Lonchura striata: one gene and its partners. The protein of the gene in region 1 purifies or fractionates together with the protein of each later gene. This does not show direct contact. Links are inferred from orthologs where the notes say so. Each region holds a gene or a part of one and is shown on either strand. Other genes may lie near its edges. The genes, in order: STX18, SCFD2 and NBAS.

Region 1 (3,748 bases):
CTCCTTTCTGCCCCTGAAGGTACTTATATCGCTTAAAACAGTTCAGCAAAGTGCTCAAACACCTTAATTATGTGACACAAAACTTCTCTGCGATGGGCTAGAGAGATCTCTGATCCTACAGCTGAGTGCCTGCCCAGTCCCACACTCCAACTGTGTTGCAGCTGTGAACAGTTGGCTGCTACTCCTGGAGCTTGGAGCACAAGCAGCATCAGCACAGCTCTACCTGCAAGATGCTATGCAAAACCATGCAGAATATAATGTTGAAAGGAGTACTTCTTTCTAGAGTAGTGTAGACTCTATTATTTCACTACTTCCATATTTGCATGTCAGATGGAGAACTTGCACTAAGGACTTAGGGCTTCTCTAGTTTGGAGAAAAGTAGGCTGAAGAGCAATCGCATTGCTCTACATTTTCCTGAGGAGAAGACATGAAGAAGGAAGTGCCAATCTTTTCCCTCTGGTATCCACGGACAGGATGACTGAGAATGGTTCAAAGCTGTGCCAGGGGAGGCTTAGACTAGACATTAGGAAGCATTTTGTAATGAGCAGGTGGTTAAACACCAGAAGAGGCTTCCCAGAGAGGTGGCTGGTGCCCCAAGCCTGTCAGTGTTCAAAGGGCATTTGGACAATCCCCTTAATAACTTGTTTTACCTTTTGCTCAGCCCTGAAGGGGTCAGGTAGTTGGAGCAGATGATGGCTGTAGGTCCTTTCCAATTGAAATATTCTATTCTGCAACCAAGTAAGGCATAAAGAAAGTGGTGGCTAAATGTAGCTTATTCAGGGTCTTTACTATTAGAGGGTTTGACACATAAGATGATCAAACTGAACTGTATTTGGCTGAAACAAACAGGTAAAATCATCATTTATTTTACTATAAATCTTAATTCTTCTGGCTGCAGTTTCAGTGTTCTATTCACACATCAAAATGATGTTCTGTGGTCTGGTGGGCTGTTGGCTCACTGTCGCAGAGGAGTTACAGAGCAAGGCCAGTCCACCTTGCTCCTTCTCACTGACCAGCTGTCAACAGCCACGTGTTCACACAGCAACACATTGCAGCTTTGCTTCTCCTCCAAAGTCCTTGTTTATGTAAGTACCATTAATTAAAACCATTGTCCCCCTCAGACAGTTCAGCTCATCCCCCTTGGCACTAGCTGTTTACTTCACCTGATGCTCTTACAAATTAAACATGACATTTTTCTCCACGCCTTCATCCTTCCTTCTGTTGTCTGCACTAAGGAAACTCAGAAACGGTGAGGAGCTCAGAGAAAACACTGGGATCATCATGAAACAGCGGCTGTAAACAGTGGTAAGCCAAAGAACCAGGGCAGAAAAAAAAAGACAGCTATAGCATGCTATCACTGCACAGGAGCACAGCAGGGCAAGGAGAAAGACGGAGATGAGGGTAGGCTTGAGTATGAATAGAACTTTAAAAATCAAAACCAAACTTGGGAATAGGCAAAAGCAAAGAAGCCCTGGTAGCAGAAAGGTAATGGGGAGCAAAGACTAGAAGGAAGGAAGAAGTTGGCATGAACCTAGTCTGAGACTCTAAATAATTTGAAATACAGACACAGAAACTGAGAAGGAGGAATCAAAATGCAGACAGAGATAATACTAGAGGCAATGGGGCAAAAGGCTTGTTCAGAGGGAACAAATAAATCTGTGGCTATAAGAGTATCTATAATGGAACCGAAAAACCTCAGATTTCCTTGTGCTTCCTCTGCTGCTATAAACCACTTGTCCATTTCTCATTTAGTCCCAAACTTGCAAATCCAGTCTGTAAGTCTGTCTTCTCAGAGTTCCTTAGTTTTTCAAAATACAGTCCAGTGCTTTATCAAAGATATATTATTCAAACCCTGCCTTTGACTCAGAATGGAGAAACACAATATCCAACAAAATTGTTTTTACAGAACGACTATGGCCTGAGGAGCGCTGTTAATGCCCATCAGCTTTCACCTCTGAAATTCCTTAACTATTCAGTGCTTGTCTTTGCAAACCTTAAAACGTTCCGATGACCTTTGTACATGCAATGTGCCTAGGGCTGGCCCTTCGCTGCCACACCGTGTGACAGCGCAAACAACCGAGCCGAAGGCAGCGCGCAGGGAGCAGCGCGCAGGGAGCAGCGCCGGACGCGGCCGGACGCGTGTGCCATGGCAGCGCTGTGTTACGTGGCGGCGGCGGCAGGAAACAGCCGTGCGCACGCAGGCACGGCCGGAGGGCGGCGGATCCGCACGGACGCGGCCGCAGCCCCGGCAGGAGGGCCCCGGGAGAAGCCGCGCCGCGGGGAACGCGGGCGACAGGCGGGCTCGGAGCCGGCCCCGGCCGCCCCGGCTCTCCCAGGCCACAGCCGCGTGGGAAAGCGCTGCCCCGCGGCTCTCTGCGGCCGGCTCCGGGGCCCGCCCGCTCTCCCCGGGGAGCGCCGGACGCTCCGAGGCGGCGGCGAGGGCCGGGCTGCCCGCCCGGGAGGAGCCGCTGCAGCCGCCCCGGCTGCCCTCGCCCTCCCCCCGCGGCCGCACTCACCACCTCCCGCGCCCTGCCGGTGAAGTCGCTTTTGGAGCGGGCGGTGCCCCGCTTGAGCAGCTCGTCCCTGGCGCTGTCCCCCGCCGCCGCCGCCACCCCCAGCGCCTTGTTGCGGGTCTTCACGGTCTTCACGCTGGCCTTGAAGAGCAGGGTGATGTCCACCGCCATGGCGGCCGCCGGTGCCGCCGCGCGCCCTTCCCCGCGCAACGCGGCCCCGCGCGGCGCGTTCCGGCTGCGGGGAGGGGCGGCGAGGCCGCGCCAGGCCGGGGCCGCCCGGCTGACTGCGGCCTGCGCGGCACGGCACGGCACGGCACGGCACGGCACGGAGCGGCAGCCGTGTCCGGCACAGCCTGCAGGTATACCCAGTGCTGCCTAAACGCTGCACGGAAATTGGAGCATGTTCGGCGTAACGGCCCTCTAGAGCGTCCTGCCAGGTGTAGCCAAGCAGTGCTGGTGCAAGGCGGGTTAATTAGAGTTGATAGATGAACCACATCTGCGCTGCGAGCTGAGTAGGCGCTACCAGAGGTAGCGTGTGAGTAGGGGTGTGATACTCCCCTAGGCAATGCCATCCGTGGGATCAGACACTGATCTCCGTGGTGACAGGGACAAGATCCGAGGCAATGGCCTGAAGCTGTGTCGGGGAGGTTTAGGTGGGATATTAGAAAATGTTCTTTCCCCAGAGATGGATACTGGCACCGCTCCCCAGGGAAGCAGCCGCAGCACGAAGCCTGACAGAGCTGAAGAGTTTGGGCACAGCTCCCAGGCACACGGTGTGACTCTGGGGGTGTCCTGTGTGGGACCAGGAGTTGGACCTGATGGGGGTGCCTTCCAGCACAGAATATTCTGTGTTTCTGTGATGCTGTGGATGTCCTATGACCACAATTCCATGTGTAGGCAGAGCAACCTCCTTACACCTGGAGTGTACAGCTATGGTTTCCTCTGCAGAACAGAAAGCTGACTGCCCAGGTCCTCCAGTCTGCTGCCATCCTGCGCTGGGACAGTGTCACATCAGTACCTGCAAAATGTATCACAGTGTTTGTAATCTGATTCCAGAATGAATTTTGTGAAATAACCTTTGTTATCGAGGCAACTTTGTTATCACGTTCTATGCAGTGGCCTAGCTGCATGAGACTGTGTGGCACAGAGGGGAAAGCTTTTGACCAAATAGCTAGTAGCAGTGTTTATATAAATGTGCTTAGGCATACATATGTGCCACCCAATGCTCTGGGATC
Region 2 (3,748 bases), about 14 Mb from region 1:
ATTTCTTCTCACTATCTGAGTGCACAAACAAACCCTTTCCCTGTTCCCACCCCAAACCAACACTCTTCTCATAATTTCATTTTAAGGTTTCTTATCCAAGTCCACTCTCCTGCAGTCTTCTGAGCAATCTTCCAAATCTCAGCATAGCATTAACTACCTGGATTCATAGCTGCTCTTTAGCACCTTGTTGATAGCTATGAACCCTACAGCAGTTCAAGAGTACACAATGGCAAAATTATGGGAGGAAAAGAAATACGGAGGACAATTCAGAAACAGACAAGCTGCGGGGTGCAACTTTGTGCCAAGTACTTGCTACATGTCATGTGGTGGCAAAAAATTATGACCTGAATTATTGACTACAAACAAAACCAGGCCCACATCCTGTGCATGCCAGCAGGAGGTATGTATGACTGGGATAGCAAATGCAGACACTCCTATATCAATATGCACTGAAACACTTTCAGGCACATAGATATGGCTAAGGGTTACACAGAGACATATGTATGTCTGCCTAGACAGACATAAAGATAAGAGTGACAAATAGGTTCACTGGATACTTCATAGCAATCCATAAGGCTGAGTCTGAAATATGCAGACCGTTTCCTTCACACCTCAAGGTGGTACACAGGCACAGTTAAGGCTTCTAGTTTGCAGCAAATTTTAAGATTTCCAGCAGAGCCTTCGGCCTTACTCTTCATTTCTATAATCCACTGGGATACAAGGGTGTGTAAGCAACCATCACGGCCATGGGATGAAACATGCTCCCAGTATTGCCAGATGAAGAACTGTTTGCATACCTGGTGGCTAGATACAATTACTCTTCAAACCATTAGCCTGTGGAATGGAACCAAACACTGCTTATTCTGTAAGATCATGTTAAACACAAACCAAGAACAGGAGAGTAATCAGCTCAGTTATGTCAACTTTTCTCCTAACTTGGAAACCAGCACCAGTTCATTGGGTGGTTAAGTATGACTTTGGGGTCACTGACCCCCAGGGACCACCACTTAACCAAACCATTTAATCTATTTCTGCATGAAAGGATGCACCTGGCACTAGGGGTATGGCACAGAGTTTGGGGTCATGGAAGCAGCCTGTAAAATACTTTTCCAAACAACTGGGTAAGAAGAGTAATGGATGATCTAGATGCTTGAGAGCAATGGCTTTTAAATCCAGGAAGCATGAAACTGACAGCAGGACAAAAGCTTATCATAGACATATCCCCCACGGTAATAGCTGTTTTGGAACAGAAAGGAGAACATTCGGCATCACCAGCAGAATGCTGCAACACCGAGTTTTCCTACTGAAGCAGGATGATGTGGAACTTACAGGAACTACTGCTTTGAACCCAGCCACGTTTCTCCAAGCTTCACGAGAAGCCCAGAGTTCTACCATCACTGCCTGGTAACCACTGAACAAGCGTATTTTAGCAGACCACATCTCAAGAGCAATCCCACCAACGACCCAAAATTAGAGCTATATCCACATGGGAGGACACGGTACAAAGTGGAATATGGATTTTTGGTAACACCACGTCACCAGGGTTCCTACTATCTGCCACCCTCCCGGTGGGGCAGTTATGGGCCCTGTAGAATGACAGCACGTAGCAGGTGAGGATTTCTTACCGGCGAGGTCCAACGTCCTGTCCACGAAGATGACAGAGGCCTTGTTGGTGGCTGTCCTCCTCCTGTTTCTGGCTGAGGCATAGCTTGCTAGCTCAGCGGCGACGACCCTGCTGAGGCCCCCCACAGCGAAGCTCTCCTCCCGCAGGCCCAGGGCGGTGAAGAGAGAGTCGAGCTCACCCACCAGGGCCCGCACCGCCGCCCGCAGCTCGGCGGGCAGCGCACCCAGTCCAACCTCTGCGGGGCCGGGGCCGCCGGGGCCGGGCAGCGGCGGGAGGAGCGCTGCCAGGGCGGGCAGCAGGCAGAGCTCCGCCGAGACGGGCGCCAGGAGCGGCGGGCCGCGCAGCACCACCTCGGCGCGGCCGCCCTCGCCCATCCACCGCCGCAAGGTCTCCTCCAGCTCCGCCGCCGCGCCGCCGTCCGCCTCGTCGCCGCACACCAGGGAGCAGTGCCGCACGGCGCCCCGCTCCAGCACGCCGCGCACCGCGGCCGCCGCGCCGCCCCGCAGCGTCCCGCTCACCACGAACACGACGCGGGCCGCCCCCGCCGGCACCGCCGCCTCGGCGGACAACGCGCTGACAGCCAACGCCCCGGCCGCCAGCAGCTCGCCCGCCCCGCCGGCCCAGTGCAGCGCCTCGGCGGAGGGCGCGTCCATGAGGACGGCGGCGCGGCGCGCCCGGGCCAGCGCGGGCTCCCAGGCCCGGCGGCTGAGCTGCCGCAGCGCCTCCGGCGCCGCCATGGCGCTGACAGCCACAACACGCCGCACGTGCCGGCGCGCCCCGGCGCCGCGCGATGACGTGCCGGGCGCGGGCTGGCCGCGCGCGCGGGGCGGGGCGCTGGCGGGGGCCGGGCCGCTCCCGCGGGAACGGCCGCTGCCACGGCGCTCTGCGTGTCCGGACCCCAGAGGCGGGAGGGACCTTCATCGCTGCCCCTGCCCTGCTCTTGGGTACTCACTGTGCTAGGGTTAGCAAGTGCTTTGGTGAATGACCTGGCGACACGGAGTACTCTCGCTCAGTAAATGCGACTTTTCGCTGTACAGTTAGAGACGTATGACAAATTATTTTAATTCCATGTCCCCCTTTAAAAGCCTATCATCTCGAAATCGGTTTCAAAACTAACTAGAAAAAAAATGCCATAACAAGCATCTACAGTTTCTTCTCCCCAGAAAATGGATGGCCCGCCTGCAAATCTGTGCTCTACATAGAATTCAGCTGGGCAGCCTCCTTGGTGCACAGCCAGGAAGGCACCTTTTCTGAGACAGCAGGATTATCAGCATTAATAAAGAGATAAAATACTTAGTTACTTCACCTTCCATCTTAACTGCTGTTCTTAGGTCTCTTACAGATTCAATTATCTTACAGATTCAAATGGTTTCAGGACACTGAAAAACATGAGGAACACTGAATTCACTAGATTTCCAGTAATTAAATCAGATCCTTTCCTTTCAGTGTTCTCTACTGATATTGCTACTCAGATGCATTCTTCCCTTTCTTTGTGCTTTCTTTCTAGCACCAATCTGTTATTTTAACTATAGGGCATATAGCTTCATGATGCTAGATAAATATGTAAGTTAATAGTCTTCTTGACGATTTTGATTTGAGAAATGAACACTAAGGATGGGGGCTAGTTAACTACTATTGTGTGAAGTGGCAAAGTAAACATAACAGGAATGAAAATTCAGACACCGATGTCTATGAAGAGGTACTACATATACACATTTGTCTTATGAGAAATAAGTGACTCAGTGGTGAAAAATGCCTTTGCTGACTCCACAATTATTTGTGCAAAAATGAAATAGCAAGATGAAAACCTACCCAGTTACATCACATAATTCATTACCTGTTCCACAATACTCAGACATTTAATTTTGCGGGGGTGAAAAATAAATTTGAGTGGGTTGGTTGTTCTTGTGAACTCCAGTGAAATGTCATGCCATATATGAAACATTCAAATAAGCTTCTCTCTGTAGGCAATTAAAATAAAATCCCCTCACTGTGAGTTGTGTTTATGTTACAGTCCTCTAGTCTGATTTTTCCCAAACTGACCTGCTGTGAAAAAGCAGACCCCTGTTTTAGTTTTCACATACATCCTGAAACACCACAAGCTCCATTTGTACACACATCTGG
Region 3 (3,748 bases), on another chromosome or scaffold:
GCTGCATTGCTGCGAAATTTAAAAATTTATTAGTTATATTTAGTTGATCTTTTATTATATTTAATTCCAATAATTCCATTTAATTATTTTATTCAAATTAGATAGTTATAATTTTAATCATTCTAATTAAATTTTTTAATTTAATTTCTGTCAATTATTTCATTCTATTTCAATTATTTACATTATTTACATTATTTTAAATTGTTACTCAGAACAGCAAAACAGCAAGTTTTGTGCAGTCTTGTGTCTAATTTAAGCTGTTACTACTCTTCCTGCCCTATAAATGCAATAATGTGTCTTTCATGTCCTTTAAGTAATTTACAATGTTATCATATGATTTTATATTATTTGCATGTTTTATTAATTTGCTTAAACCACAAAATTCTCCTTCTTTTTGTAAAGTAAAAGAGGGAGATGCGGTGGTGTGTTTTTCTTTCATTTGATATTTGTTTAATATCTGTTTCCCCCCCCAACCCCCCTTTCCCTGCCCCTTTCCCTAGAACCTTCCCTGTCATTCATTCTAGCCCCCTCCTCAGCTTCCAGATGTTAGTTCTGCCCTAAACTCCTCCCCTGCTATTCCCTCATTGGTTACTGTTCCTACACCCGTCCTCCTGAGTTCTGTATAAAACCTTTGCCCCCCCGCCCGCCGGGGTCTTGGGGCTCATGGAATAAAACCATCTCGTTCCCCCCCAAGTCCCGTGTCGCCTTCGTCTGTCCCTGCGCGCCACGAACTGAAACTGCAGAGCTTGCGGGGGAAAGCGGCCGCCCGTTCTCTTCCCTCACCGCCCAGCACGGCTCGGAGTGCCGCGGCGAGGAGCGCATGCCGCGCCTCAACACTCCAGCCCTCGGTGTCCTTCCTGCCGGGAGGGACCCAGAACTTACAAATCAGCTAATTTTATCTGCTTGAGAGAGCTGAACGCTAGGAACTCTAACTGGTAGGACTGAAGTATTTAGAAGTCCTCCGTGGCACCATTAAGAACCACTTGCGAGAAATCCACGTTTTCCCTTTTCCCCGTTTTTTGCCCCTCTTCGGTCAGGGCTCCATCCACACCCCGAGGTCCCGCCCGCCGCGGGCCGGCGCCGCGCGAGTGAAAGGCGGAGCGGTTTGGCCGCCGCCGGTTGCCGTCGCCGCGGCGGCGCGGGCAGGGCGGGGCGGTCCGGCATGGCCGCCGCCGGCAGGGACCGCGGCGGGAGCCCCCGGGAGCGCGGCATGGCCGGCGAGCAGGCGGAGGACGGGGAGGAGAACATCCTGTACGACCTGCTGGTGAACGCCGAGTGGCCTCCGGAGACGGAGGTGCAGGTGCGTGTGGCCGCGGCACGGCCGCGGGCGGGGGAGGGGACCGGCCACGTTGGCGCGGGCGAGGACGCGGCGGCGCCCGGGGGCCGCGGGGCCGCGCCGGTGCCTCGGGAGGCTCGGCGGGATGGCCGCGCTGGGCCTGGCGGGCACGCGGCGTGTCCGTGCGGCCACTGTCCCCGTGTGCCTTCGTGTCGCTTAATTCCCACCGTGGCTTGTGCTGCCTGGGGTGCCTTGAAGTGTTGCTTGCTTATTGAACAATGTGTGTCGGGCTTTGCTGTTGAGCTGACACAAGCGAAACTCTGGTGAATGAAGTCCAGGTGTCGTCTCTAGAATCAGCCGTACAGAGAGCTGTGGAGTCTGTGCTGGTGAAAATAGGACCTTCGTTGGGTTTACCTTGTATGAGGAAAATTAGATCCTCTCTCTGGACTCCTGTATCAGTACAGTTGTGTCTGTATTTGCAGGGATAAAAGAGAAAAATATTTGATTTTCTGTCCACAATGCACACAAATATCTATTTCTGATTTCTTAAGTGCTAGTTTACACTGTTCTTGTACTGCAGGTTTTTAGTTATTTCTAGCTGTTCTTCTACCCGGATCACCAGAAAGGCTGAGAAGCTGTTTCATCTTACCTTTTTCATGTTTTCCTCTGCAATGTGCTGAGCTTGCTGCCTTTTGTCTGCACTTGGATTGACTTGGATATAGATGATGCGAGCAGTGTGGTTTTATTCCTTTCTTGTAGTGGCTTTTAAGTCTACTGAAGTTTTTAATGCATTTCCCACTGAAGGTTTGTAATAGAAGCATTTTAGCAAAGTTTTATGCTTAATGAGAACAGCTGAACAGAAAAGATGTAAAAACATCACAAGGGGAAGACTTATCTGTTAAAAATTACTAGAGCCATGCTCAAAACTGAATCATCAATACCACAGATTCCAACAAAAAAAAAAAAAAGTTTTCATTTGTCAGAAAGATTTTTTTGGTGTTGTTGCTCTTGATCTGTAAATCCTCAGTTGCAGCAACACTTATGGGTGTTTGGAAAACACGATTGCAGTATTACTATTTATTAGCTTAATAGGGTATTTGTATAGATGAATTGATAGTTGCACTTATTTTAATTCAACTGTGTTTTGAGAAATGGTAAATAGTCTTTGTTTTTAGTAGCATATGGAAACAATTCTCCTGTTGCAAACCATGAGGAGAACTTAGGTATGACACAAAACTGTGGTTCTTTTACAGCCGTGTTAAGGGGGCACATTTCTGACAAATGCGTTTTCTGCTGCCATAGTGTTCTTGAGGTTGTGTGGTAAGTTGATTAAAGAACTGATAACTCTGAGAAACAACAATGTTGTTTCATCTCCTCTTGTTAGTAGTCTCTCTAGTACCCCTGTAGTGTACTGGAGGGGGCTGTGAATAATAGGTTAGTGAGATGACACCTCTCCATGGTGGGGATGCCAATTTAAAGTGACTGTGTAACCACAGTCTGAGGGTCCTTATCTGCCCTGGTAGTCAGAATTTCTAAGCATCATTGAATTCTGCTTGTTAGCTTAAGCAGATGGTGGTGGTTGTTTTAAACTTGATATTTCTTGCCTATTTATTTTTAAGATAATACCTGTTTTCAATAGCAGAAGTTGGTTTGAAAATCCTATGCTGTATAATTTGCTTGGATTTACATTCTTTTTGGAATCTGTCAGTACTCAAGGACACTTCTGATAGTCTTTTTGCCATTTTAGTGGGAAATTGATTTTACACTGACAACATAGGCAAACAGATTATTTTGTCAGTATGAGTCACTTTTTGTCTTAAGATGCCTTAACAGTGATACTACTTAGGTGATTGTCCTAAATGACACCTAAGTGTCCTTAGGTGACATTCCCTTTGGAGCATCTGTCTCTTTTAGTCCTATTTTTTTCACACTCTTCAGAAAAAAATTATACCCTACTTTCTTGTAGAACTGAATCTTTTGGAATAAGTGAGGTAAAGAATGGTAGAAATGGAAAGGAAGTTGAATGCTGCACTGGGAAATGAAATTAGTTGTCTTCCTATGCAGTAATTTAGGCTACAAAGCCAGACCTTAAACTTTTACAGGTCTTTATTGACTTTATTTTTTCTGTTCTCTCATTTGGGATGATTAATTTTTAATTGCAGAGCACTAGGTCTTAAAGCTCTAATTATTGGAAGATGAGCCTTGGTGATGAAGATGTAAAATCATGTTAAATTCAAGACATTGATGAAACTGGCATGGATCTCTTGGGCTGAATGCCTAAAATTTTTAATATTACTTCTTGTTGGTATTATCATTCACCTGTACTGAGCTTTCCGGTAAGAATTTTTTGGTGGAAGGAGGGCCAGGGAGAGTTATAGTAGTTATTTGTGGAGGAAACACTCAAGGAATTGACTACACCAAAGAAGAGAGTGGTGTGGAAATCAAACAGTCTGTGTTCAGGATAGTGATGCC

The links.
Region 2: the proteins of STX18 (region 1) and SCFD2 purify together in Homo sapiens (co-immunoprecipitation; 3 studies listed by BioGRID and IntAct, counting the BioPlex papers as one, with this or other methods). This does not show direct contact. The link is inferred for Lonchura striata from reciprocal best matches to the Homo sapiens genes STX18 and SCFD2.
Region 3: the proteins of STX18 (region 1) and NBAS purify together in Homo sapiens (co-immunoprecipitation; 5 studies listed by BioGRID and IntAct, counting the BioPlex papers as one, with this or other methods). This does not show direct contact. The link is inferred for Lonchura striata from reciprocal best matches to the Homo sapiens genes STX18 and NBAS.

The regions. Positions count from the first base shown.
Region 1 is NC_134606.1:13,114,999-13,118,746, reverse strand, and holds the start of STX18 (syntaxin-18), read right to left. Parts: upstream 2,735-3,748; 5' UTR 2,685-2,734; coding exon 2,517-2,684; intron 1-2,516. UniProt on the Homo sapiens protein: Syntaxin that may be involved in targeting and fusion of Golgi-derived retrograde transport vesicles with the ER.
Region 2 is NC_134606.1:26,634,483-26,638,230, forward strand, and holds the start of SCFD2 (sec1 family domain-containing protein 2), read right to left. Parts: upstream 2,365-3,748; 5' UTR 2,362-2,364; coding exon 1,626-2,361; intron 1-1,625. UniProt on the Homo sapiens protein: May be involved in protein transport.
Region 3 is NC_134605.1:101,624,528-101,628,275, reverse strand, and holds the start of NBAS (NBAS subunit of NRZ tethering complex), read left to right. Parts: upstream 1-1,126; 5' UTR 1,127-1,162; coding exon 1,163-1,300; intron 1,301-3,748. UniProt on the Homo sapiens protein: Involved in Golgi-to-endoplasmic reticulum (ER) retrograde transport; the function is proposed to depend on its association in the NRZ complex which is believed to play a role in SNARE assembly at the ER. Required for normal embryonic development.